Schizosaccharomyces pombe: one gene and its partner. The protein of the gene in region 1 interacts with the protein of each later gene in a pairwise test. Each region holds a gene or a part of one and is shown in the gene's direction. Other genes may lie near its edges. The genes, in order: pwp1 and mlg1.

Region 1 (12,542 bases):
CTTATGAAATTGAGACTGAATCGGATCTGCCAGTTTTTGAAGATAAAAAGTTCTCTGTTCGTCGGAGATATAAGGATTTTGAGATGCTTCATAATATTTTGAGCCATGATTATAATGGTTATGCAATCCCTCCGCTACCGAGAAAATATACTGTTAGTTCTTTCTCTGGTGGTTCATTATCTCCCATATTCATTGCTCGTCGAATGCAATCCCTCCAAACGTTTCTGGATCGATGCTCCACACACCCTGTAATTTCCAATTCTATGCATATGTATCAATTTTTGGAAAATAACTCTTGGAAATCTTATTATCATAACGCGTGGATGCAATCCGAAAACACTAAGTCCAAGGGCAATAACGTATCCGGAGGAATTGAATCATCAATTCAAAACTTAGACCCGTATGCTCAAAGCTTGTATGAAACAGCAAAACAGCTTCTCCAAAATGCGGATACGGATCTCTCAAAGTTGGAGAAAACCTGTGTTCAATACATGAATAGTGTTCAAAATTTTCCTACTGATATTCCTGTCCCTTCTAATTTAAGCATCAGTAACCTCGATGTTGTCTCTGTAGAATTTAAAAGACTAAAGAGAAACAGCATTTTTTTAATAAACTCTTTTCATTCTAAGGTAATTACATCTATTCAAGATTTGGAAGATTACATGGTGGTTTTTAAGAGTTTGATCAAATCTCGTGAACAAAAGGTGAAGCAATTTGAACATTTCCAACAAATCGTTCAATCTAACTCTAATAACCCTGATCAATCATCACGATCTGACCCAAACTTTGTAGAAGCCACTCCCGTTGTGCAGCAGACACCTGAGCTTAAACCGTCGCCCAACACTACTATACGTACCTCGAGTTTATTCAGTATTCCAAAATTTTTTAAAAAAAAGCGGTACTCATTAGGTCAAGACGATGCTAATCCCATGGAGTTGCTTCAATTATCGTTTCAAGAATTATGCATTTTCAACGAAAAACTTGAGCAAGAGTTAAATTTTCTACGCGAACGTATCGATGTTGAAATGCGTAAGACATTACAAATGGTTTGCGATTGTCATGTGGAATATTTTTCTGGTATTCTTGAGCAGCATGCCGTGAAGGAATAATAGTTCCTCGTTATTAACCTACTACTGTATAGAGGCTTTTGAGTTTTTAAGTAAGTGTTTTATAACTTGGCGTATGATGCTTTAACGTTTGTTTTACAATGTGTGATGTTTACGATATTTTTTATGCGACTTGAACTAATATTAATGAAAATTTACGAATCTGAGATTAATTTATTACTTTTTTATGCAGTCGAAAACATGACTTATTAATTTTCGTTAAATTTGCTCATGTTCTCAAATTAAAGTACAAGGAATGCAAAAATGTAATGACATTTCTATAATTCTTAGACAACTTTAAACTTCCCAACGTGGAATTGTTTCTTTCTTTGCTAAAGGAATGGATGATGTCTCCTTCGTACTTACTTCTTTCTGTTGTGCATAGATTTTATTTTGTTCTGAGCTTTAAAAAAATATAGCTCAGTAAAGAGGGATTATCAACAGTATAGGTTTTGTACTAACAATAAAATCTTCTGTGCCTTTTTTTAAGTATATGCATTTCCCTGTTCTGCTTTAATTTTATAAGATTATAGTCATCTCCGTCCGAAGGATGACAGTGATTTATATCTCAAACTATGCTTCTCAAACATGATTGATCTATATAATAATACAAGTAATTTCAATTGAGTGGTTTGAATTTTGCATTTTTGATGAGGACTTCACACACTACAATACTTTTTAGAAATAACTGATGGGTTCATTAAAGTTCTTCAATTCTCATTATTCGGTAGAAGTTGAAGATCTGTAAAATTTTTATAAGACTATAAAATGATGTCTATTTAAACAAATATTATCAGAGATTTACCATAACTGACATTAATAGGATAAAGATTATAAGTTAGCAGATATTCACTATGACTATTTGCCCAATAACATGTTTTGTTGAGATGTCTTGGTATTTCAAGTTAAATATACTGATGAAAATTGTTTTAGAAATATTCAATAATAAAGAAATTGTTATTATTGTAACATGAATTTAAACCATCACCTATCAGTACAAACGCAGCCCAACGCTTTACAAAGGGCTGCACGCTAACACTATGCTGGGAGTTTATAAAGTCATCATATATAATCATATCTTCGTCAGATGGGTTGGTAATCTTTGCAAGATAAATTTCCTTTCCCCTTCATGCAAATTCCTTAGAATTCACCTCACTCTGGTCAAAGAATATATTTTTTTGGATGCATAGTCTTTTCAAGCAGCTAGTTTTTTTCCTGGTAATGACGCTAACTGCAGCTGACAAGGCTGCATTTGATGCGGAATCCATGCTAGAAGCTCCTAGAAGGTCAGCAGTAGTTAGCAATCCTTTAGGGAATCTTGGAATATTTATAGAATCGAATTATTCCTTTGCTGATCACAAATATAACTCTGGAATTTACCTTTTGAATGAAAGCACTAGAAACCATCAAGAGCTTTTAGTACACGGCAAATCAAACAAAGCGCTCACATGGATTACTGATTCAGCTTTTTTATATGCAAGAGAAGATAATTCTAGCTCATCGAGTATCCTTCTTTTTGACGTTAACAATCGATCAGAGCGTATCATATATAATCATAACTCTTCAATATCTGATATAAGGATCGGAGAAAAGAACAACCACTATAGAATCGTTTTTAGTTCAGTGGATAATTCGTTAGTTAAGGGACCTTCAAATGTTCACGTATACGATCACTTGTTTGTTCGACACTGGGATAGATGGAACACAGGATCTAGGAATACCCTTTATTTTATAGAGCTAGATAAAAAAACGGAAAACTCAAATTATTTTGAAATTTCCTCAGAAAAAGCTATTGATTTGTTGAAGGAAACTGGCTTGGAATCTCCTGTCGAACCCTTCGGAGGTCTTTCTGACTTTGATTCTAACTACGACAAACTTGTCTTTGTAGCAAAAGACCCGAAATTAAATCCGGCAACACAAACAAAGACAGTTGTTTACGAGATTAATCTGAACACTCGGAATCTGAAGTCATTGAGCACTGCGAAGGGTGCATGCTCTTCACCAAGACTAGCCAAAGATGGAAATCATATTGCATGGCTTGAAATGCAAACACCACAGTACGAAAGCGATCAAAATCAAATAATGGTATATGAGTCCGAGTCAGGCGCTAAAAAGCACATTGCTCGTCATTGGGACCGATCGCCTTCCAGCATTGAATGGGGGGTTTTCAAAGGAGGCGAACCAGGTCTTTTTGCTATTGCTGAGAATTATGGGAAGCAAATTTTGTTTTTTGTTTCTATATTTCACCACCAAGTTATCCCAATGACAGAAGAACACTCTGTTTCTTCTATTAGTGTCCCTAAATCTTCTTCCTTATGGCTTACGAAGTCATCTTTAATCAATCCCCCTTATTACGCAAAGATTAACGTTGAAACGTTAAACGAAAGTGTTTTACTCGAGAACAATGTCGGATTATCGCCAACTTCTTATGAAGAAATTTGGTTTCCTGGCACTCATGGTCACAGAATTCATGCATGGATTGTAAAGCCCGAAAGTTTTGATAAATCTAAAAAATATCCTGTAGCAGTGCTTATACACGGGGGACCTCAAGGTTCTTGGACAGATAGTTGGTCAACGCGCTGGAATCCTGCAGTTTTTGCTAATGCTGGTTTTATTGTATTTGCTCTTGATCCTACTGGATCTACAGGTTATGGACAACGTTTTACCGATTCCATTGCTCTTGATTGGGGTGGTAAGCCATATAAAGATATTGAACTTGGTGTTGAGTACATAAAAAATCATCTTTCCTATGCTGATTCTGAAAAAATGGTTGCCTTAGGTGCTTCCTATGGTGGTTACATGATTAATTGGATTCAAGGACACCCTTTAGGTCGTCAATTTCGTGCACTTGTATGTCATGACGGGGTATTTAATACCCTCAATACTTTTTACAATACTGAAGAACTTTATTTTTCTATTCACGATTTTGGGGGTACTCCTTGGGAAAACAGAGTTATCTATGAGCGCTGGAATCCTTCAAATTTTGTGAATTATTGGGCCACTCCTGAACTTGTAATTCATAGCTCAAAGGATTACAGGCTTACCGAAAGTGAAGGAATAGCCGCATTCAATGTTTTGCAGTACAAGGGAATTCCTAGCAGATTACTAGTCTTTGAAGACGAAAACCATTGGGTCATTAAACCTGATAATTCCCTACGTTGGCATAAAGAAGTGCTTTCGTGGATTCTTCACTATACTAAAGATTGTAATGCCAATGAAGATGAAACGTTTTAGATTAATTTTAATAATACAACTACGATTATTTAATAAATTTTTTTTTGTTTCTCTCGATCTTTGTTAATTCTATTACCGCGGATAAAAAGTTGCAACCGCGGTTTATCCGAAGACATATCAAATTTAGATCTTTGCTGTAAGGGAAATCGAGTATTCACCGATCCAGCCATTCCTTAGCCAACATTGCATTAAATTTTTAGAGAGTCGATTTAGACTTGACTACCTTTAATTTACTTAATAATGCCGGAATACGAGATTCAGGTGCCTTCTTATAGAGCTGCTGCATTAACCGCCGAAGAACGTACACGATTACTTGCAAGACCCATTCAGAACACTCAAAAAATTCGTACGATTGTCCAACCGATAATCGAGGATGTTAAATCAAGAGGAGAAGCTTCTCTAATAGATTATGCTTCCAAATTTGAAAAGGTTCAATTGAAGTCGGCTGTCTTAAAGGCTCCGTTTGACGACGACTTAATGAAAATATCCCCAATGATTAAAGAGGATATTGATATTGCTTTTAACAATATTTTTGCTTTCCATTCATCACAGCTGCGTCCTACAATTGCTGTTCAAACCATGCGTGGTGTAGTCTGTCAACGGATGTCTCGTCCTATTAACCGAGTTGGTCTTTATATCCCTGGAGGAACTGCAGTGTTGCCATCTACTGCTTTGATGCTTGGAGTTCCGGCGAAGGTAGCTGGCTGTCCTCATGTAGTGATTTCTACGCCAGTCCGAAAGGATGGTACGGTTGCGCCTGAAATTGTATATATTGCAAATAAAATTGGTGCTGAGGCTATTATTTTGGCAGGCGGGGCGCAAGCAATTGCGGCCATGGCATATGGAATATCCGGTGTTCCTAAAGTTAACAAAATTTTTGGCCCTGGAAATCAATTTGTTACAGCTGCAAAGATGCATGTTCAGAATGATTACGGGGCTTTAGTTGCTATTGATCTTCCTGCTGGTCCCTCAGAAGTTTTGGTAATAGCAGATGAGACCTGTAATCCTGAAAGTGTTGCCTTGGATTTATTGTCTCAAGCAGAGCATGGTTTGGACAGTCAGATCATTTTGCTGACTGTCTCTCTATCTCCCGAAATGTTTGACCGTATTCAAAAAGCAATTAATGATCACGCTTTACGACTTTCTCGTTCGTATATCATCAAACATGCTATCAAGAAGTCGGTTATTGTACAGGTTGACAATGTTGATCAAGCTTTTGAATGGTCTAATTTGTATGGTCCTGAGCACTTGGTCTTGCACTTAAAAAATGCTTCTTCATACATTCCCAAAATAGATAATGCTGGTAGCGTTTTCGTTGGTCCTTGGTCACCTGTAAGTATGGGTGACTATGCGTCTGGTACCAACCATACGCTTCCTACATACGGGTACGCCTCTTCTTATTCTGGCGTTAGTACCGATAGCTTCTTAAAATATATCACTACCCAAGAGCTCACTGAAGAAGGAATCCAGCGGTTGGGCCCTACTGTTATTCGTCTTGCTGAGTTGGAGGGTCTCACTGCGCATGCCGATGCTGTTCGTGTTCGGGGAGTTAGACTTTGAAAGGGGTTTCCTTTTTACGTATACCTAATTAAGGATTCGGCTTAAAATAAAATTTGTGTTTGGTACTAAATTTGACAAAGTATTTTTAGGTTATGATTTATTTTATTTTATTTTATATTTTTCAATTTAATTTTAATAGTATGAATGGGCATCCAATATACTGAGTAATTATCCATTAATTCAACCTGAAGTTAGTTGGTGTCGCGTCGCGTGTCTCGACTTTTTTCTAGTGAAAACGAACATTCCCTTTAACCAAACCTGCAATTAAGCGTTACGGGAATTTTAACGGAAACGATCATTAAATAATGAGTTATTCAGTTTCAGCTGCTCAATTATGGTCTCGCAAGTTGGCAATGCAAGCCGAAGATATGCAACAGCATCAAAAGTCACAGAGCAATCAAATTGCTAGTTGTTTGGCTGAAATGAATACCAAACAAGAGGTAGTTAATCAAACGATCGGTCAACTAGGACGATCTATTAGTGAAGTCCAACAACAAAATTCTCAACTAGGTAAGTGAGATTTAGAATTTCCCAAGTGGTTGGAAGTCTGACTTAATAGTACTACAATCTTTGAATCAAATAAACATGTCTATGCAGCAAGTGGCCTTAGGGATTCAAGATTATGCCAGTCGTATCAATAAGTTGGAACAGACCATGTCAGATATGAATTTGAAATTTGAAGCTTTACAAAAAGAACAGAACAGTAATACAAAAACACTAGCTGATTGCACAAGCCAGATGACTATAATCACTAAAAAGCTAGATGCAGAGCTGAAAAAGCGTTATATGACTACTAAACAAACACGAACAGTACAAAATCAAACTATGCCCAGAAGTAATACAACAACGAAAAAGCGAGTACTGGCTATTGATTTCTTAGCAGATGACGATTATTAAAATACTTAGATCAGCCTCATTTAAAAGCTTTTCTATGATATCAATTAAAATTAAACACCAATCAAACCGTTTTTTCATAGTGAGCGATGCAATATATTCACTTTCAGCACATATTAAACTTGCCTAAACGCTGTTAGTATGCAATGAGCAAAAACTGTTGATAGACTTATGAAAGCCCAAATGATTGAATACTAAAACCCCTTGAGTTTACAAAGATTTCTCAGAATGAATTAGCTTGGTCACCGAGCAGAACTCTCAGACGGCACTTCCTATATAAAATGTTAAGCTTCTTCTTTTGTCATCACAATAGAATTCAAGGAATTTTCAGTTTCTTTCATTTTTGAATACCTACCTAGTTGAAATTTTTTATAGACAGTCCTTTTTAAAAAACTTCAAAGATTTTTACGAAATTATCTATATGCACTAATATAGCTGTTTTCAGCGTTGATGGCACTACGTACGTTTAGCGGTTTGCCAAATTTATAGCTTCGAAACAACGTGACGGCTTTTATCAACTATACGAGAGTCGAGCTTATTAAACATAAGCTTTCGTTAAAAAAAAAAGATAAAAGCATGAATAAAGCTACATATTGTGATTTATGGATTGGTTTACTGGTTTTGCTCAAAATCATAGTAAAAGGGTAGTTTCCTATTGTTGTGTAATCGATAACTTTTTCTAACATTTTGCCCTTCTAAAACAACTTTTCATATTATAAGCTATTCGTTTTACTGTTTAAGTTTCAGTCCAAAAATTAAGACTAATTTAAGAAGAGAAAATTATAGGTGACTATTTGTTTCCTTGTGTTCGTTTGTTGTATAGCGAACTTTATAGATTACAGCAGTTAGAGCTGCGGCAAATTAGTTGACTTGTGTTCTTTGCAACATTAAACGAAAACAGCAGGCAATACACAAATATACGTCCGTAGCATTTATCGTACAAACTTTCTAACGAAGCTAGTATTGCAATTTTTCTCCATATAAAAATTCAATAAAATTAATTAATAAAATTCAAAGTATTGTTTTGTGTTTATTCAATCTTGAAATCATTTAAAAGTTAAGTAAAAACCAAAAATTCCAAACTCCATCTTAATGTGATGCTTCTGACACTCATATTGTTACCGCCCTTTTAATTCACTCAACTTAGTATTCTTATGCAACGTACTGTTAGAAGTGTTTACACTGTGTTGCGTGCGACTGATTTTATATGTTGGAAACAAATTTTAAGATCCATTAATTTTACTTAGACACCAGTGAGAACAAATACAAATATTAGAAAGACTAAAAAATTTAGTGACCGATGCTATTAGATTTCTCAAATAAATATTGTTATGTCAGCAATACTACACTACGCTATGATACACTACTTGCGTATCACTATATGTCACATGTTCTAATTATATATCGTACCATGTATGATACGATATTGAGATTGATCTTAATGATGATCTATTAAGATCTATATTATCTGAATAATATAAATAGAGCTACTGCTGAACTGAGGAACGAGGTTCAGTTATGAGCTATATTAGTGATAGGTAACATTATAACCCAGTTAATACAATACCTATTCTCAGTTGCTACTTATACAACCTGTGTATTGTAATATAATAGATCACAAGGAAAACTCACCGCAGTTCTACGTATCCTTAAATCAGATACCAAACTGCGTAGCTTACATGTTAGTTAGTTTAACATACCGCATACCGTTACATCGTAGCTCGTAAGAAATACTCGCCGTAGTTCAATGTATCATTAAACAGATACCAAATTGCGTAACTGACATTAACTTGAATTTACGATGAGTAAAAATACTTGTTGACGTAAATTAAGTTAACGCATTTAGTTTATCTACATGAACGTTATGGCCTTTTGGTCGAAGAAAAATGTTTTCTTAAGTTTTGAAATCTAATTTAACGCAGGTTTACGCTAAACGGTTAAATAACGTTTTTTGTAAGACACGAATATTTTCAGTTCTTCTTTTCCCAAGTAGCGGTGCACGATTTATGCCATTATTTACTCGTATCAATACGTTGACATTTACTTAATCTTTAAATTTTTAATCTCGTTTAGATCAAGAGTGGTGTGTTTTCTGGTTTAAACATTAAAGTAAAGATTTGCGGAGTAAATATTAAGAGAGGTGCAACATGTCAATAGTCTCGTCTGTGGCTTTTGTTCCTCGCGGTTATGCATCAGAGTTTCCCAAGAGTTACGATATTGATGAGATAGAGTATGAGCGAATTAATCAGCTTTCAAAGTTAAAGCTCGAGGATGCTCGAGCTGATCTCCAATCTTCTATGGAAGACTCAAATAAAGCCAATGGGAACGGTGAAGAAACTACAGATGGAGCAGAAGGGGTGTTGCAAACAAGTGAAGAGGTAGATGATGAATTGAAAGTATACAATTTGGATACTTACGATGACGATGAGGAGGAAGCTGAGACAGAAGGGCCCGCTGCTATGTTTAGCAACATTCGTGGATTGGCTTACCATGAAAATGGAGAAAAAGATCCATATATCACTATTGATCCTCAGGAACAGGACGATTTGGAAAGAGAGGAAATGCAAATATTACCAACAGACAGCCTTTTGCTAGCTGCGCGCACAGAAGATAACTTGTCCCACGTTGAAGTGTATGTATATGAGCCAACAGAGGAAAATCTTTACGTGCATCATGATTTTCTTCTCCCTACCTTTCCTCTGTGTCTCGAATGGCTAGATTATAAGGTGGGTACGTCTGACAACGCTCCTGGAAATTACGTTGCTGTCGGCACGTTTGATCCTGAAATTGAAATATGGGATTTAGACATCATTGATGCAGTTTACCCTGCAGCCGTGTTGGGTGCAGGTGCCTCTCAAGTCAACAAGAAAAAGAAGAAGTCTAAAAAAATAAATGATAGTTATCACACAGATGCTGTTCTTGCTCTTTCTTCGAACCGAAATGCTCACAATCTTTTGGTTTCTGGTTCTGCAGATACCACACTAAAGTTGTGGGATTTGAGCACATGCAATTGTGTCAAATCTTTCACGTATCATTCTGACAAAGTTTCTTGCTTAGATTGGTATTCCAAAGCTCCATCCGTATTATTGTCAGGTAGTTATGATAAAACTGCAAAAATAGCTGACCTTCGCCTTGAAGAAGCTCCATCGAGTTTTCAAGTTACTAGCGATGTTGAAAATGTTGCCTGGGATCAACATAGCGAAAACAACTTTTTCATTGGCACTGATAATGGCATAGTTTATTATTGCGATGCTAGAAATCTCTCAAAGTCCGTTTGGCAATTGCAAGCCCATGATGGACCTATTTCTTGTCTCAGTGTTAATCCTTCGGTTCCTTCTTTTGTAGCCACAGGCTCCACTGATAGAGTGGTTAAACTCTGGAACACTTCCGATAGTTCACCGAAGATGGTTGTTTCTAGAGATTTGGATGTTGGACGTGTGTTTACTTGCTCCTTTACTACGGACGAATCAACTGCTTTCCATCTAGCTGCCTCCGGAAGCAAAGGAGTCGTTCGTGTCTGGGACACTGCAACTAATCCTGGTGTTCGAAAAGCGTTTGAAAGTAGAGTTACTGAGGAAGTTACTAAAAAAGAGCGCATCGTTCAGTTAGAAGACAGAGGTGCCGGGGAGGACTCTTCTGATGATGATGACTATGAAGATATAGAAGACGATGATGATCAAGATGCTGAGATGTCCTAATTCTCTTGATTTATTTTAAGATTATAGCTTCATGTTTTCAAAAACTCTCCTAAGAGGCCGCTTCATGGGTTTAAAGGGCTCACTAATTGTATAGAGGATTTTTTGCATAATTCAATATTTGGAAAAAAGGGATCAGGTTAGTTACAATAAATTTCATTTGATTTGGTGTATGATGGTCTTTAAACTTTAGTAAATTCATCCACATTAGTGGAGTAGCAAATGTATGCATTAAGTGTATATTGGGTTTACCGTTACTTGGTAAATTTTGCCTAACAATTCTTTTAATTCATATGACAATTTTTATTTAAACATTGAAGTACTGATAAATTGTTAATTGTCAATTACTCAGGTTCATGATTTTGCACCTTTGGGGGGCCGGAGGGTCTGAGTAAGTTCGCCTTCCGCCAGCAACCTTATTGATTTAGTAGGTATGCTTTCACATAATCAAAATGATTTGCTATTTACGAAGTTAATAGATAAATTAACTGATTATATGTCCAGTAAAGATGCAGCTACATCGCTTGCCAGTCGAGTTTTGACAATTGCCAAGGGTAGCTCGTCCAGCACCGAGTTTTCTAATGCATTACATACATTTGGACGATTTTCCGATAATGACAGCGTCCTTATTTACGATTTATGCAAATCTATAATTGGTTTAGAGACAAATTTGGGGATTTCTAAAGATAAACTTCCTGGGAATGATGGGTCTCAGGTAGCTGGATTAGTTTTGTCTAATCGTTCTGGTTTGAAAGGCCGAGAACCCAAAAAATCCCAGCTTGGATTGGATGTTCTTGCTGTTCAAAAAAAGAAAGAGAAATCTCAAGTAGAAGGGCGCTCTGAATTATCCCAAGTAGAAAATGATTCCTTGGAGTCTATAGGAAACTATGACAGGGTGGAATTTAAGAGACCTAAAAATCCACATGAAAAACATTTTCGTCCCCTTCGTCAACGGTCATCTGTTGACGATCATCAAGAGTTTGAAAGTGAAGATGATAAATATCGTAGAAATTCTTATTCTAGCTGGTCTGGAAGTAATTTCGAGTCTTCCAATGGATCTAATCGTCGGCGGTATCGAACTCAAATGGAAGAACCTTTATCCTCAAAACGCAGAAATCGGTTTGGTAATGGTTCTCGAAGAGACGTCGATAGCTCTAAATATTCGCACGATAGTGATTATTCTTATGGTGCACACAGCTCTTGGGATGCCCGCGACGTTGAGTACCCCGAAGAAGATCCCGAGAGTAAAGCTGATCGTCAACGTTGGGAAGAGGAGCAAGCTCACTTGGATCGTGATTGGTACATGAATTCCGAGTCGCAAAATTTACTTGGCGATGAAGTTCACAATCCATTCTCCGATTTTGAAACTGTCGAAGATCGTGCACATGAAGCTGAGTTTATCGAAAAGCAGAAAAAGCATTTGTCAATTGAAGCATCAGACAGATTTAAAGAAAATTCTATGTGGGAAAAAAATAGAATGATCACATCTGGTGTTTCAAAAGCTCCAGGGCTCGAATCTGATTACTCCCTTATGGAAGAGAGGCGTGTTCACTTGCTTGTCGATGAACTGCGTCCTCATTTTTTGGATGGGGCCGAATTTTCTTCTAAGAAAGTCGGTGATATTACATCGGTTCGAGATCCACAAAGCGACCTTGCAATAAATGCTAGATTAGGATCTCGTCTTGTACGTGAACGAAGAGAATTTCGGGAGCGTCAAAAAGCAGCAAGTGCTGCTACATCCCTTGCTGGTACATCTTTGGGTAACGTGATGGGTCTCAAAGATTCTAATGATGAAGATGCCAAGGCCGGTACCACACCTGTTAAAGTAGCTGGACGTTCTGAACAGTCGAATAAGAAGGATACTGAGTTCGCTCGCACGAAATCATATAGAGAACAAAGAGAGTTCCTACCTGCCTTTGCCGTGCGTGAACAGCTTCTTTCTGTTATACGTGATAACCAAGTTCTTATTGTAGTTGGTGAGACTGGTTCTGGTAAAACTACCCAATTAGCTCAATTCTTATATGAGGATGGCTATCATAGAAATGGCATGATA
Region 2 (12,297 bases), 1.7 Mb from region 1:
AGGAATGCGGACTAGTAGTATCTACTCAAGTACTTCTTCACCTTACATTCGCGACCAATATTTCTTAAATCGCATGTTGACGAATGGGTCGCACAATGGCTCTCCTTCTTGGAGGGATGGCTTACTTTGAAAACTGGGACATCGCAATAGTGGTTAAAATTGTGTTGTGCCTAGTTTACTTTTAAGTTATTCAATGACATACCAATAATTGAGAAGAAATGATGGTATGCTCAGTATTTATTTTCCATATCCCCTCTTATATTTATACAACTTTGCACTGTCAAAGACGTTATGAAAGAAATTCGATCCTTGGTAATGGGAAAGGAAATTTAGCTATCATTTACAATTATATATCTAAAAGGTCCTCATGTGTATCGGAATTTACATTCATTTACGTGTCTATCTTGAACGCTAATACACCGCTGCTTAAGCTGAAGAAAATGATACCCTGGTTTTTTGTACCAAGTTGTCTCCGTAAATATTTGATTTCGGCAATTTGGATATTTATTATTCCTTTCATGGATTGTTGTCTTTGCTAAACTTAACTTATTTATAATAATTATATTTGATTATATACTATATACAATCGTAAGTGAAGGTGATTTTAGCGAATGTAACCATGAAATTGTTAAAGCACATGGATTTTTTTTTAAAGAAATGTAGAAATTTTATACAGTAGTTGCAACGTAAAGTTGTGATTATAATAGCCTTTGATGATTAATGATTTTTATAATGATTGGTAATGAGATATCTAATTGTACTAAAATACAGTATATATAAGATTTAAATTAAATGATAATCAACTAGCTCACATGGTCCAGTGGTTAAGACTCATCGTTGTGGCCGATGCGACCCAGGTTCGATTCCTGGTGTGGGCAGATCTTACAATAATTTTTTCACTCATTATACGAGAATTCTATTTTATTTATACTCAATGAACATTATATTTTTTAATAAAAAAAGTTTTTCAAAAAGTGAAATTGAGCCAATCCATTGTACATTGAAGAATCAAACAGAAATGTGTCATATTACAACTGGTGTCACTGCAATTTCTTTTTAATTTAGCTATAAAATTTACAATTAATTCAAACAACTGTCTACGGCCATACCTAGGCGAAAACACCAGTTCCCGTCCGATCACTGCAGTTAAGCGTCTGAGGGCCTCGTTAGTACTATGGTTGGAGACAACATGGGAATCCGGGGTGCTGTAGGCTTCCATTTTTTTATTCGTGAAAAAACAATTTAATTACTTGCTTTATTTATTTACACTTCTTTATTTTTCTTCGTTTATTGCACGGTTATCTTCATTGTAGCGAATTCTAACCACTTACTAGCAAAGAAGATGAAGAACAGAACTTTGTATATTTATTACTTTATGCATTGTTTAACACAAAAACGCAGAATACCGCACTGTTTGCAATTTAGCTTTAAAGAAGTTAAAAAGTTGTTTTAAATTTGATATTTTGCAATATGCTATTGTTTGTTATCGCTATGCATTACTGGATCCGAATGCATGTAGAGTGCATTGCTAGTATTGTATGCTATTCTCTTCTAGTGCACGACACTGTAATTCCCCATACTTTACAGCTCAGCACAATTGTACGAAAAGTGGTTTCAGTAAACTACGTTAATTACGATACTGCAGCTAATACGGCACCTTAACTTTCGCAATCAGCACGGGCGATCCTGAAGGATGATCTTCCCTCTTCTCCATGTCGGCGTTATGAAAAGATCTGCAATAAAAAATTTTGTTCGGTTTTGACTATTTTAGGTAAAAAACAAGTCTTCGTGCAAATCATTGGCAACAGAGATCTGATGTGATTAAGTACAATTGTGCCGGAAGTAGCACGACAAATTTTATTGCGATGGTGAAATTCCGAGCAGAAATTTCCTAATCCTTCTTCGCTGTGTTTCCTATAAAATGAGCGGTATCGGCACTTAGTTTTTCGACTGCTAAGAGCTTGAAAGCAAGGAAAAATAATTTATAAGCGCTAGTGTATCAGTTTGCATTTCACTTGTATTAGCTTTTGAAATTTTTTTGAGTTTCGACTCGTCTTTTTTTTTTTTCCTTTTTTTTTTGTCATTTTCTCTTTTAAATTGCTGCTTTTGGTTTTTTGAAATTGATCTTTGTTGCAAACTGTTAAATATCTTTTACTAGCACTTTAAACTCATCATCAAAATAAAGATCATTCACATTCAACATGCCAGTCGAGAGTGAACATTTCGAAACTTTACAATTACATGCTGGCCAAGAGCCTGATGCTGCTACCAGCTCTCGTGCCGTTCCCATCTACGCTACTACTTCCTATGTTTTCCGTGATTGCGACCATGGCGGCCGCTTGTTCGGATTACAGGAACCAGGTTACATCTACTCGCGTATGATGAATCCCACCGCCGACGTTTTTGAGAAACGTATTGCCGCCTTGGAGCATGGCGCTGCTGCAATCGCTACTAGTTCCGGTACTTCCGCTCTCTTCATGGCTTTGACCACGTTGGCTAAGGCCGGTGATAACATTGTCTCCACTTCTTACCTTTATGGTGGTACTTACAACCTCTTCAAGGTTACCCTGCCTAGATTGGGAATTACTACCAAGTTTGTCAATGGTGATGATCCTAATGATCTTGCAGCTCAGATTGATGAAAACACAAAGGCTGTTTACGTTGAGTCCATCGGCAATCCCATGTACAACGTTCCCGATTTTGAGCGTATCGCTGAGGTTGCTCATGCCGCTGGTGTGCCTTTAATGGTCGATAACACTTTTGGCGGCGGTGGTTATTTGGTTCGTCCCATTGACCACGGTGCCGATATCGTTACCCACTCTGCCACTAAGTGGATCGGTGGTCATGGCACTACTATTGGCGGTGTGATTGTTGATAGTGGTAAGTTTGACTGGAAGAAGAACAGCAAGCGTTTCCCTGAATTCAACGAGCCTCATCCCGGTTACCATGGCATGGTCTTTACTGAAACTTTTGGTAACTTGGCATATGCTTTTGCTTGCCGTACTCAAACTCTCCGTGATGTTGGTGGCAATGCCAATCCATTCGGTGTCTTTTTGCTTCTTCAAGGTCTTGAAACGCTTTCTCTTCGTATGGAGCGTCACGTTCAAAATGCATTTGCTCTTGCAAAATATTTGGAAAAGCACCCCAAGGTTAACTGGGTTTCTTACCCTGGTCTTGAATCTCACGTCTCTCACAAACTTGCCAAGAAGTACTTGAAAAATGGTTACGGCGCCGTTCTCAGCTTTGGCGCTAAAGGTGGCCCTGATCAAAGTCGTAAGGTAGTCAATGCCTTAAAGCTTGCTAGTCAGTTGGCCAATGTTGGTGATGCCAAAACTTTGGTTATCGCTCCTGCCTATACCACTCATTTACAATTAACTGATGAGGAGCAAATTTCTGCCGGTGTCACTAAGGATCTTATTCGTGTGGCCGTCGGTATTGAGCACATCGATGATATTATCGCCGACTTTGCTCAAGCTTTGGAAGTTGCCTAAAAAGCCCTCATTGTATATCTTTTTATTTACCTGTAAAATACATAGTAATGTTTCACAAATATCGATTGAGTTTTTGTATGTTTTCCCACATCTGCTCAAAATATTTCTCTCTTTTATCCATTATAATACTTTTAATGTGTTCTCTTCAACAGAAAGCTAGATATATTTATCATACCCGACTTTACATTTCACACTTCAGTTTACGCTATGAAATAAATCATTTTTCGGTTTGATCTCTTGGTAATTTAGATTCAGATTCACAAGTAATAAACAATGACTATTTATAACACTTGTGCACTACTAATGGCTAACAGGTCTATAAAACAAGGAAAGCGTAACATATTATATAACAAAATTTACGTTATCTTGATCTCTGCCTAGCAAAAGATTACTGAATGCTTTTAGCTCCTTATTTCGGTAAGCACATTATTACTATTAGCAGAAATTCACTGGTGCTTTCATTAATAAAAAATACACAAAATCATATAAAATTAATTTTACAAAAAATAAAAAACCACCAAATTGCTAAAGACATACATTGTAAACATATGAGTTATTGCAATAAGTTGGTTTCCAAATATTCCCAAAACTCTTAACGAGAGTTGGAGCGGTCAGGGTAATAGTTTTCAACTAGCAATAACGCCATCTAGGAAAAGTTCCTCACTGATAAGCGTAATACCCGTGCACAAAGATGGGGAATGGTAAACTCTTGTACATCCATTTATAGTAAAATTGAGCAGTCACAACAGGTCACAAAACCCTACCCTATTACTTTAACATAACGTTACGGAATATACGGGCTTAAATTCCCTTAGTGCACTATGAAATGATATTTTGAGTATGAGAGTTTTAAAGCGCAAAGGGGAAGATTTGCAAAACTGATATATGTATAGGTATGTATATTCATTCAATAACTATGAATTCTTGGATAATAAAGAAATCAATGCTAAAGTAATGTTGAAGCGTCAATCGTAAATACCAAGCCTTGCTTTCCAAAAAGGCTTAAATGCATAGCAATTCCATTAACAAAAGATGAATGGGTGTCGGTTCGAAATGTAAAGAATAAAAATGATAAAAAAGGAGGGAGGATGAGGTATTCTCTTTAAAAATATAGTACTTAAAAGGAGACAATTCACCTATAGTCACTCGCATGCCCAATTTTGCTTTATTATAAGGTGAGGCAATTACAAAGAAAACAATATCTTACAAAATTAAGAGGTAGGAGTAGAAGTCGATTTGAAAGTTTGAAAATCCGCTGACTCAGGATGCAACATTGCTACGTAAATTAGTAAAGAGCATAAAAAATTGAAAGCCTCTTCAGCAGCTATTTTTCTTACCTATATCTGGAACTGCTGTCTCTTCAGCTGATAACGCAAAATTTGCAGGCGATACTCTGATACAACGATCACAGAGAATAGAATAGTTCATATTTTCCATAGCTTCTTTAGCGTCTTCTGGTTCATCAAATTCTACAAACGCGTAGGAACGGTCCACAGCTAGAAAGTTAGCTAAACTTTTAAAATGTTTGAGCATTTTCATGGCATCAAAACTAGTTGTTTACCAACATGACACCAATACATGACTACTTTACCTTTTTCTTTACGATGTAATGCAACTGAGATAATCTCTCCAAACGGAATGAAAGCATTGTATAAAAGAGATTCTGTTACAGATGGAGCCAAGTTACCTAAAAAGAAAGTTAGCAAACAGATCTTTGAAAACAACAATCTTTTAAAACGAAGTATCGCCGTCATATAATATTCAACAAGTTAAATCATAACCTCAAACATTTATCGTAGATAAATGGCCATATGAGGAAGCGGTATCATGAAACTCATAGATATATCATAACAACGATGAATTCATTGATCCTTACCCACATGGACGGTTGCTTTCCTTCTTTCCATCCTCAGATCATCAAAACTAAAAAAAAAAAATAAGATGAAAAGCAAAAAGACTAAAATAATAGGGAATTAAAAAGTTCAGATTATTTCGCACATTTACTATCTCACATCCACCACCATTCAGTAAGTAGTTTCTCAAATAACGATGCAGTCTTTTTCGGTATTTAACAGAAACCTGAAATAAAGATTCCAGAGACATATGATACATGAAATGTTATAAATAAAATGAATTGTATGAAGATAGACACTTTAGAGAATGCGAGAATATTTTGCACAAGTAGCCTATGCAAAGGCGATATGCCACACTTTTCAAAAGTAGTTAAAAGAATGCAGTGTCATAAGAAAAAAGTGGAGGAGTAGAAAGAGTAATTTTAGCAACTATTCTTTATGGTAATCACTCAAGTGAATGATTGAAATGAAAAGAAGAAATTTTCCATAAAAAATTGTGCTAAGGTCTGGATAAAATGGTAATGGTAGGGATAAAATAAAACATTAAATTGGTAAGTTTGGGAACCGAGTTTACCTCCCATTTCCTGTTCCTGAATAACTACAAAACTGTTCTTAAACCATGCTATCTACCAAGTCTTGCATTGGTGCATATTCCTTGTTATCCATAAGGCTGAAATTTGTTGTTAACATCTTTAAGTAAGTAAATTGAAACACATACCCAAATTCCCTACAGAAAAATACAAAGTGTTTAAATGATGTATTCAGATAGCTTTCAAGCTCCATTGCTACCATTACGTGAAAGTGGGAACAGTAAATATGAGCATAAATGCGAAACAACCTTCGAAATATTTGCTGAATCACTTTGCGAAAATTCTTTGGGAATTCAACACCAATCTCAGTGGGGAAGAGCTTCTTGTCATCCAACTTTTCTTGAGTCCAATCCAACAGATTGTTAATATAGTCGGGAGCACTCATGCGAGTGGGTTTGGTGTATATTTTATCATCCTGCCAGTAATATTCATAACTTGGTCCAGCATTCATTTGAGGACAGGAAGCCGCCGTACAAAATTCAGTGATTGTACCATACAACATATTAATTTGTGTATAAAAATCCATTGCTAGAAGTATTCAATTAATAAAAGTTCTTGAAGTGTCAATTTTATATCTTAGCTTACTGTTCATAGCAATCCATTCATTCAAATCTTCTCCCTTGGGCAGTTTTACTGCTTCCATCAAAGAGCCAGATCCCAGCGTTGCTTCAGCATATTGCCGTAGTTGATAATGCTTCGTTCCCGCTTCAGTCTTCCTTACACGGAATGTCTTCGCTGTCTTATTACTAAATCCAAACATGAAAGAAAATGCAAAAAAGTTGGTATGAGTTGGGTTCTGGTAGGCTTGGTTTGTGCCAACCTTCCACTCATCGTCCCTTCCTCGTAAACAAACGTGGTCATTCTACCGTTCAACTTTCAAGACCATCCAGCCAACCAATATTAAGCGCAAATTAATTACTGGAATACCTATCATATTCATACGACCGTATGTTTAGGTCCGAGCACTTTTACAAATTGACAACGTACGATCGCTACTTCTTTACCCACTGCCTATAACCACTGACATTCCCTGAATTACACTTTGGTGCTAAACGTGCGGCTAAGAAATTAAAAAGAAAGCAGAGAGCTTTTAATTTTCTTTTTGGGATTTTTTTTGCTCAAATTGGTGTCTATTTAGTGTTCGTGTACGACTTTTACTGTGCGGTGAGAAACGCGAAAGGGCATCACTAAAACCGACTTTGCTAACTTTCTCTGGATTCTATTTAACAGTCTTTTATTTCTTGAGATTTGATTTAGGTTCCTTTAATTCATTTAGGTTTGACAACATGACATGCAGAATTGCGATTCGCAAGTATTCATTCATATTATGTTTGGCTGTTGGTTCAGTTACCATTTATACCTCGGAAGTTATTGGAACTCCTCTGTATTTTGTCAACAAGGAGCTTTATAACAAATATATTGCTTTTACAAAATCATTCGCCGGTATTCTGTTTACCGCTTTGGTCCAGCTTTTTAGTCCGACTCCTGTAACTCTCACCTATGATCCCGAGCTTCGAAATTTGTTTTATTTGGATAGAAATGGTTGCTTGGAAACAATTGCTGCTGAACGCAACATAGTTATCGCAAACCATCAACTTTACTCGGACTGGATGTACGTTTGGTGGTTATCGTACACTGCTAAACAGCATGGTCATGTTTATATTATGTTAAAAAACTCTCTCAAATGGTTGCCAGTTATAGGTTGGGGTATGCAATTGTTTAGATTCATTTTCCTTTCTCGCAAATGGGACAAAGACTACGAGACTATGTCTCGTCATTTCAAGTTCATTCGCAATGTACGTGATTCCGTCAGTCTCATTCTCTTCCCAGAAGGAACCAACTTGGTTGAAAGCACATATCAAAGGAGCAGGGTGTATGCCGATAAAATTGGAGTCAAAATGCCAAAGCATTTAATGCTCCCACGTGTGCGAGGGCTCTTTTATAGTATCAGTCAGCTTCGTGATTCGATGACTTATTTGTACGATTACACATTTTATTTTTCTGATCCCTCTCCTAAGAAATATGCCGCCGATGCTTTCTCTTTACCTAAGCTCTTTTTTGAAGGAGTCCCCATCAAAAGGCTTCATATTCACGTTCGTCGCTTCCCAATTTCGGAAATTCCCACTGAAGAAGATCAGTTTACGGATTGGCTTTATCAAAGATGGTATGAGAAAGATAAACTTATCGATACGCTTCTTGAAACAGGGAATTTTCCGGGCCCTAAGAAATTGCATACGACTGTTCGATTGAAGCACAGACTTGAAATTCTTTCTTTGTTTTCCGTACTTTTCACGTGCATTGTTGCTGGGTTGTTCCTCAAACTATTCATTTCTCACTAGAAAAAACTGTTATTTATACCCATTTCTTTCCATTTCCCTAAACCATATGGTTGAAAAGTTACCCATTTACACTACATAGATTAACTGATTTTCATGAACATTTTTTAACAGATTGCAAACTGGATTTTCAGTGTTAAGGAATTACCGCATACATTGCGGACGATAGTTTTATAGTCATTAGCTTTCTCTTGAGCTTTGAGATTTCGAGATAAATTATTCTGTACACTTTTTCTCCTTACAACCATCCTCTTTGCCTGTAGACGGCCTACAATCTACTGTTTCAAACTATGTCGAAGATAACATAATAACAATAAAATAAATTATGCTAAAAAAAAAATATTATAAATGTGCAAGCAAACAATCCTTTAAATCTTTAGTCCTAAAAGCAGGTATTACGAAACACTCGACCCTTACCACTACTCTAATTCTCAGATTGCAGAGTACGAGTAGGTCCTGGATTTCAGTACCAATTTTTCTCACATACTTCTTCTAAGGTTTCCAAATAATGGGTAGAGACATTTTAATTGGATTTGTTGGCAAGCCCTCCAGTGGTAAATCTACGATGCTGAATGCGTTGACAGATGCCACTGCTAAAACTGGTAATTTCCCTTTTACCACTATTGAGCCAAACCGGGCTATTGGCTATGCTCAAATAGAATGCGCGTGCTCAAGATTTGGACTACAGGACAAATGTAAACCAATTTATGGTGGTTGCAAAAATGGTGTACGTTCAATTCCTATTCAGCTGCTTGATGTAGCTGGTCTTATTCCAGGTGCGCATGCTGGAAAGGGGCTTGGCAATAAATTTTTAGACGATTTACGGCATGCCGATGCTTTGGTCCATGTGGTAGATGTCTCAGGTACTACTGATGCGGAAGGAAAAGTGTGTCGTGGATATGATCCTTCTGTAGATATCGCTTGGTTGTATAAGGAAATAACTGCATGGATCGGAAACAATCTGAGAGAGAAATGGCCTAATATAGTTCGTAGGCATATTGCTACGAAAGCCAATCCTGTCAATACACTACAATCCCAGTTTTCTGGATATGGAAGTACCCCTGCTGTTACAGCTAAAGTCTTAGATTCGCTACATTTAGATACACCTTTGGAGAAATGGGATGATGATACAATTGAAAAAGTGGTTAACAGATTCGTTGATATCAAGTTTCCTACCGTTATTGCTCTTAACAAAATTGATCATCCTGATGCGGATGCAAATATATCTAAAATAGCTAGAAAAGAAGATCCAAATCGACTCGTACTGGCTTCAGCCATATCCGAAGTTTTTCTTCGAAGATTGGCAAAACAGGGGTTTGTTAAGTACGAGGAGGGCTCTGAATTTGTTGATACGCTAGACGATTTTCCTGACTCTGGCTTGAAACCTTTGAGCGAAAATCTTAAAACCCGTATCGCAGACCTCCAAGACATGGTATTATTTCGACACGGTTCAACTGGAGTTTGTAATGTTTTAGCAAAGGCAATGGAACTTTTAAATTTGATTCCAGTTTTTCCCGTTAAAAACGTTCACAATTTTGCAAACTCTCCTAATGAAGGTGTTTTCAGAGATTGCATCTTAGTGAAGCAAGGAACGACTGCTGGACAGGTATCTCAAATGGTATTGGGTGGAGAAGCAATGTCTATTGTGGGTGTAAATGGAAACGTCGGCGAATCTGATGTTATTGTCCCAGGTAAAACGGATATCCTTCACTTTCGATTGCGGAAAGCTGAAGCTTAAGTGATTCATGAAGAAAAGTGGTAAAAGGTCGATTTTGGGAAATATTCAAAATAGTTTTGTATAGATGTTAATAAACAATACTATGTCTAAAAATTAATTTGGTTAGTTTAAAACTTCCGAAGAGCTAACTCAACAAATTACGTCTACAATGTCTGGCTGTACTTTCTCCACTATGTATTACATTGACTAAATTTTAAAACCATAGTTTAGGTACTTGTATATTTGAAATAAAGAGTCGAAATCTTGTAAACCCATGTGTAAAAAAACACGTTTGTGTGCAAAGTATCACCTCATGTAATGTAAGCCCATATCTTGCATTAGCAAAGATAAAATCGTTAATTCAGTTAAAATAAATTAATCCATAATATGATAAATTCAAGCAGAAGCTTAGGCGATAACACAACCCTTTCCATCACCAGGAGGGGAAGGATTTGCTTGTTTTTCAATTTCGCTGATAATTAGCTCGAATGCTCGAGCAACATTTTCGTTATGGCGAGCTGAAGCTTCTGTCCATGCACATTTCCATTCATTGGCCAATGCTTTTCCCTCTTCAGCGGTAACAGCACGCTGCATATGCAAGTCGCTCTTATTGCCAACAACCACAATGGGGACCCACTCAGTACCCTTAATAGCAAGTAGGTTAGTAAAAAATTTAAAAATTCTAATAATTTGACATACAGTGTGATTCAATATCTTGTCACGAACTATTTTAACCATCTCAAAAGAAGATTTGCTAGTAATGCTGTAAACGAGTACATAGCCATGGATTCCAATGGAATGCTTAGAATTTAAGATACTGTATTCATCTTGACCAGCCGTATCGATAATTTCAGTAGCAAATTCTTGACCCTTATACTTGATGTTCTTGCTGAATGTATTTTCAATAGTTGGATAATACGATTCAACGAAATGGTTTTCAACATATTGCACCGTTAAACTATTTAAAAAAAATGGTTAGTAAACCTATTTGCGCATAAACTTCAATCAAACGCTTACCTGGACTTTCCAACAGAACGACTGCCAAGAACAGCAATTCTACGAGATTTAATAGGAGCCATTGTTTAAATTAGAAAATTTCAAGATTATAATATTTAAAAAGGCAAATTATTAACTATAGAGTGATCGTAAAAAAAAGTGAGTGAAAGCAACGATGTTGTGGATGTCACGTTCCCAGCGCGCCGCAAAGGTCATTTTACCAAGTCACTGCGCAAGTAGTCTTGCAACGATTTATGTAGTTCATCAATTATAGAAACAATGGCTAGTCCATTAGAACCCATCATCATTAATTCCTCTTTCAATTTCAAATGAAAATTTTTAAATTTATGTAGAGATTCGTAAAACTGAGATATCAAAGGCTTGAGTTGGGCAAACGCTTTGGGATCATTTAAAAAGCAATGGCTTAAAATCATTACGACATATCCACTAATTTCTACGATACTTTCCTACATTTGTTAGAAATGTCTTACAACAGAAGTAGTACAACTTACGTTCTTTTGATAAAACGAAATGAGGACATCGAGTGCTGAAGCTCCGAAAGAAACTAAATAGAATTAGTAAAAATATTAATAAAAGGAACTTACCTTCAACATGAGTGATAGTTTGAATAAACTCATGAGATTCCTCAACTAGCCCTAGTAAAAGACCAAGGATTAAGATAATTAGTTCTCGTGTAGTTTCATCATCGGACGAAAAATTAGAAAACTTTTGTAAAATTTTATAAGCAAACAATGGGACTTCTGATTTAGAAACCGCTAACGCATGATCACTGTTAGAATTAACTGTTTGAATCAAAGTACGCAACAATTTTTCACTGCATGCATGGACAACTGTATCGTCAATTTTTGGTGAATTTGTTTCATTGTGTTCATCAATTAAAATTTGTAACTTTGAGGATAAGATCTGTGAAACCTTCTGAATCTTTTCTGATCCCTGGAAATCCGTAAATTTTTCTAAAGAACTACAAAGTGCATGAAGTAAGAAGTTATTGCTTCCATCGTTTTCCTTCAAGATGGGGTAGGATTTTTCTATTAAAAGATTGATTAATTCGGTAAACAACTCGCTTTCCGCAAAAACTCCCGAGGACGTCTTCATAAGAGCGATAGCTGCAAGACTGATAGAATCAGAAGAAGCAAGAGACTCATTGCTAAAACTAAAAGTAAGCTCTGCCTTTATAACGAATTCTTGAACGGCTCCCTTTACACTTTTTGGTAAGCTTTTTGCCAAAATTGAAACCGGTACCTGCGGTTCTAAAGTAATAGCCGTTTGCAAAAGAAGTTTAACATTGTTTGA

The links.
Region 2: the proteins of pwp1 (region 1) and mlg1 interact in a two-hybrid assay, tested with the Schizosaccharomyces pombe proteins (one large-scale study listed by BioGRID).

Annotation. Positions count from the first base shown.
Region 1 is NC_003423.3:2,155,337-2,167,878, forward strand, and holds pwp1 (WD repeat protein), read left to right. Parts: upstream 1-8,781; 5' UTR 8,782-8,941; coding exon 8,942-10,492; 3' UTR 10,493-10,660; downstream 10,661-12,542. Other genes in the region: atg2402 (autophagy associated protein), read left to right, coding at 1-1,109; ppp16 (acylpeptide hydrolase), read left to right, coding at 2,289-4,340; histidinol dehydrogenase His2, read left to right, coding at 4,581-5,900; meiotic recombination protein Rec15, read left to right, coding at 6,206-6,410, 6,460-6,797; SPOM_SPBC1711.15C (uncharacterized protein), read right to left, coding at 6,777-6,875; ATP-dependent RNA helicase Prp16, read left to right, coding at 10,923-12,542.
Region 2 is NC_003423.3:463,432-475,728, forward strand, and holds mlg1 (1-acylglycerol-3-phosphate acyltransferase), read left to right. Parts: upstream 1-7,220; coding exon 7,221-8,273; 3' UTR 8,274-8,709; downstream 8,710-12,297. Other genes in the region: SPOM_SPBC428.10 (uncharacterized protein), read left to right, coding at 1-130; homocysteine synthase Met17, read left to right, coding at 2,202-3,491; SPOM_SPBC428.12C (peptidyl-prolyl cis-trans isomerase E), read right to left, coding at 4,703-4,767, 4,829-4,987, 5,083-5,178, 5,368-5,398; Sid2-Mob1 kinase complex regulatory subunit Mob1, read right to left, coding at 5,957-6,014, 6,063-6,462, 6,520-6,694; SPOM_SPBC428.15 (Obg-like ATPase), read left to right, coding at 8,779-10,008; Rheb GTPase Rhb1, read right to left, coding at 10,396-10,632, 10,687-10,945, 11,005-11,066; wpl1 (WAPL family protein), read right to left, coding at 11,196-11,450, 11,496-11,548, 11,589-12,297.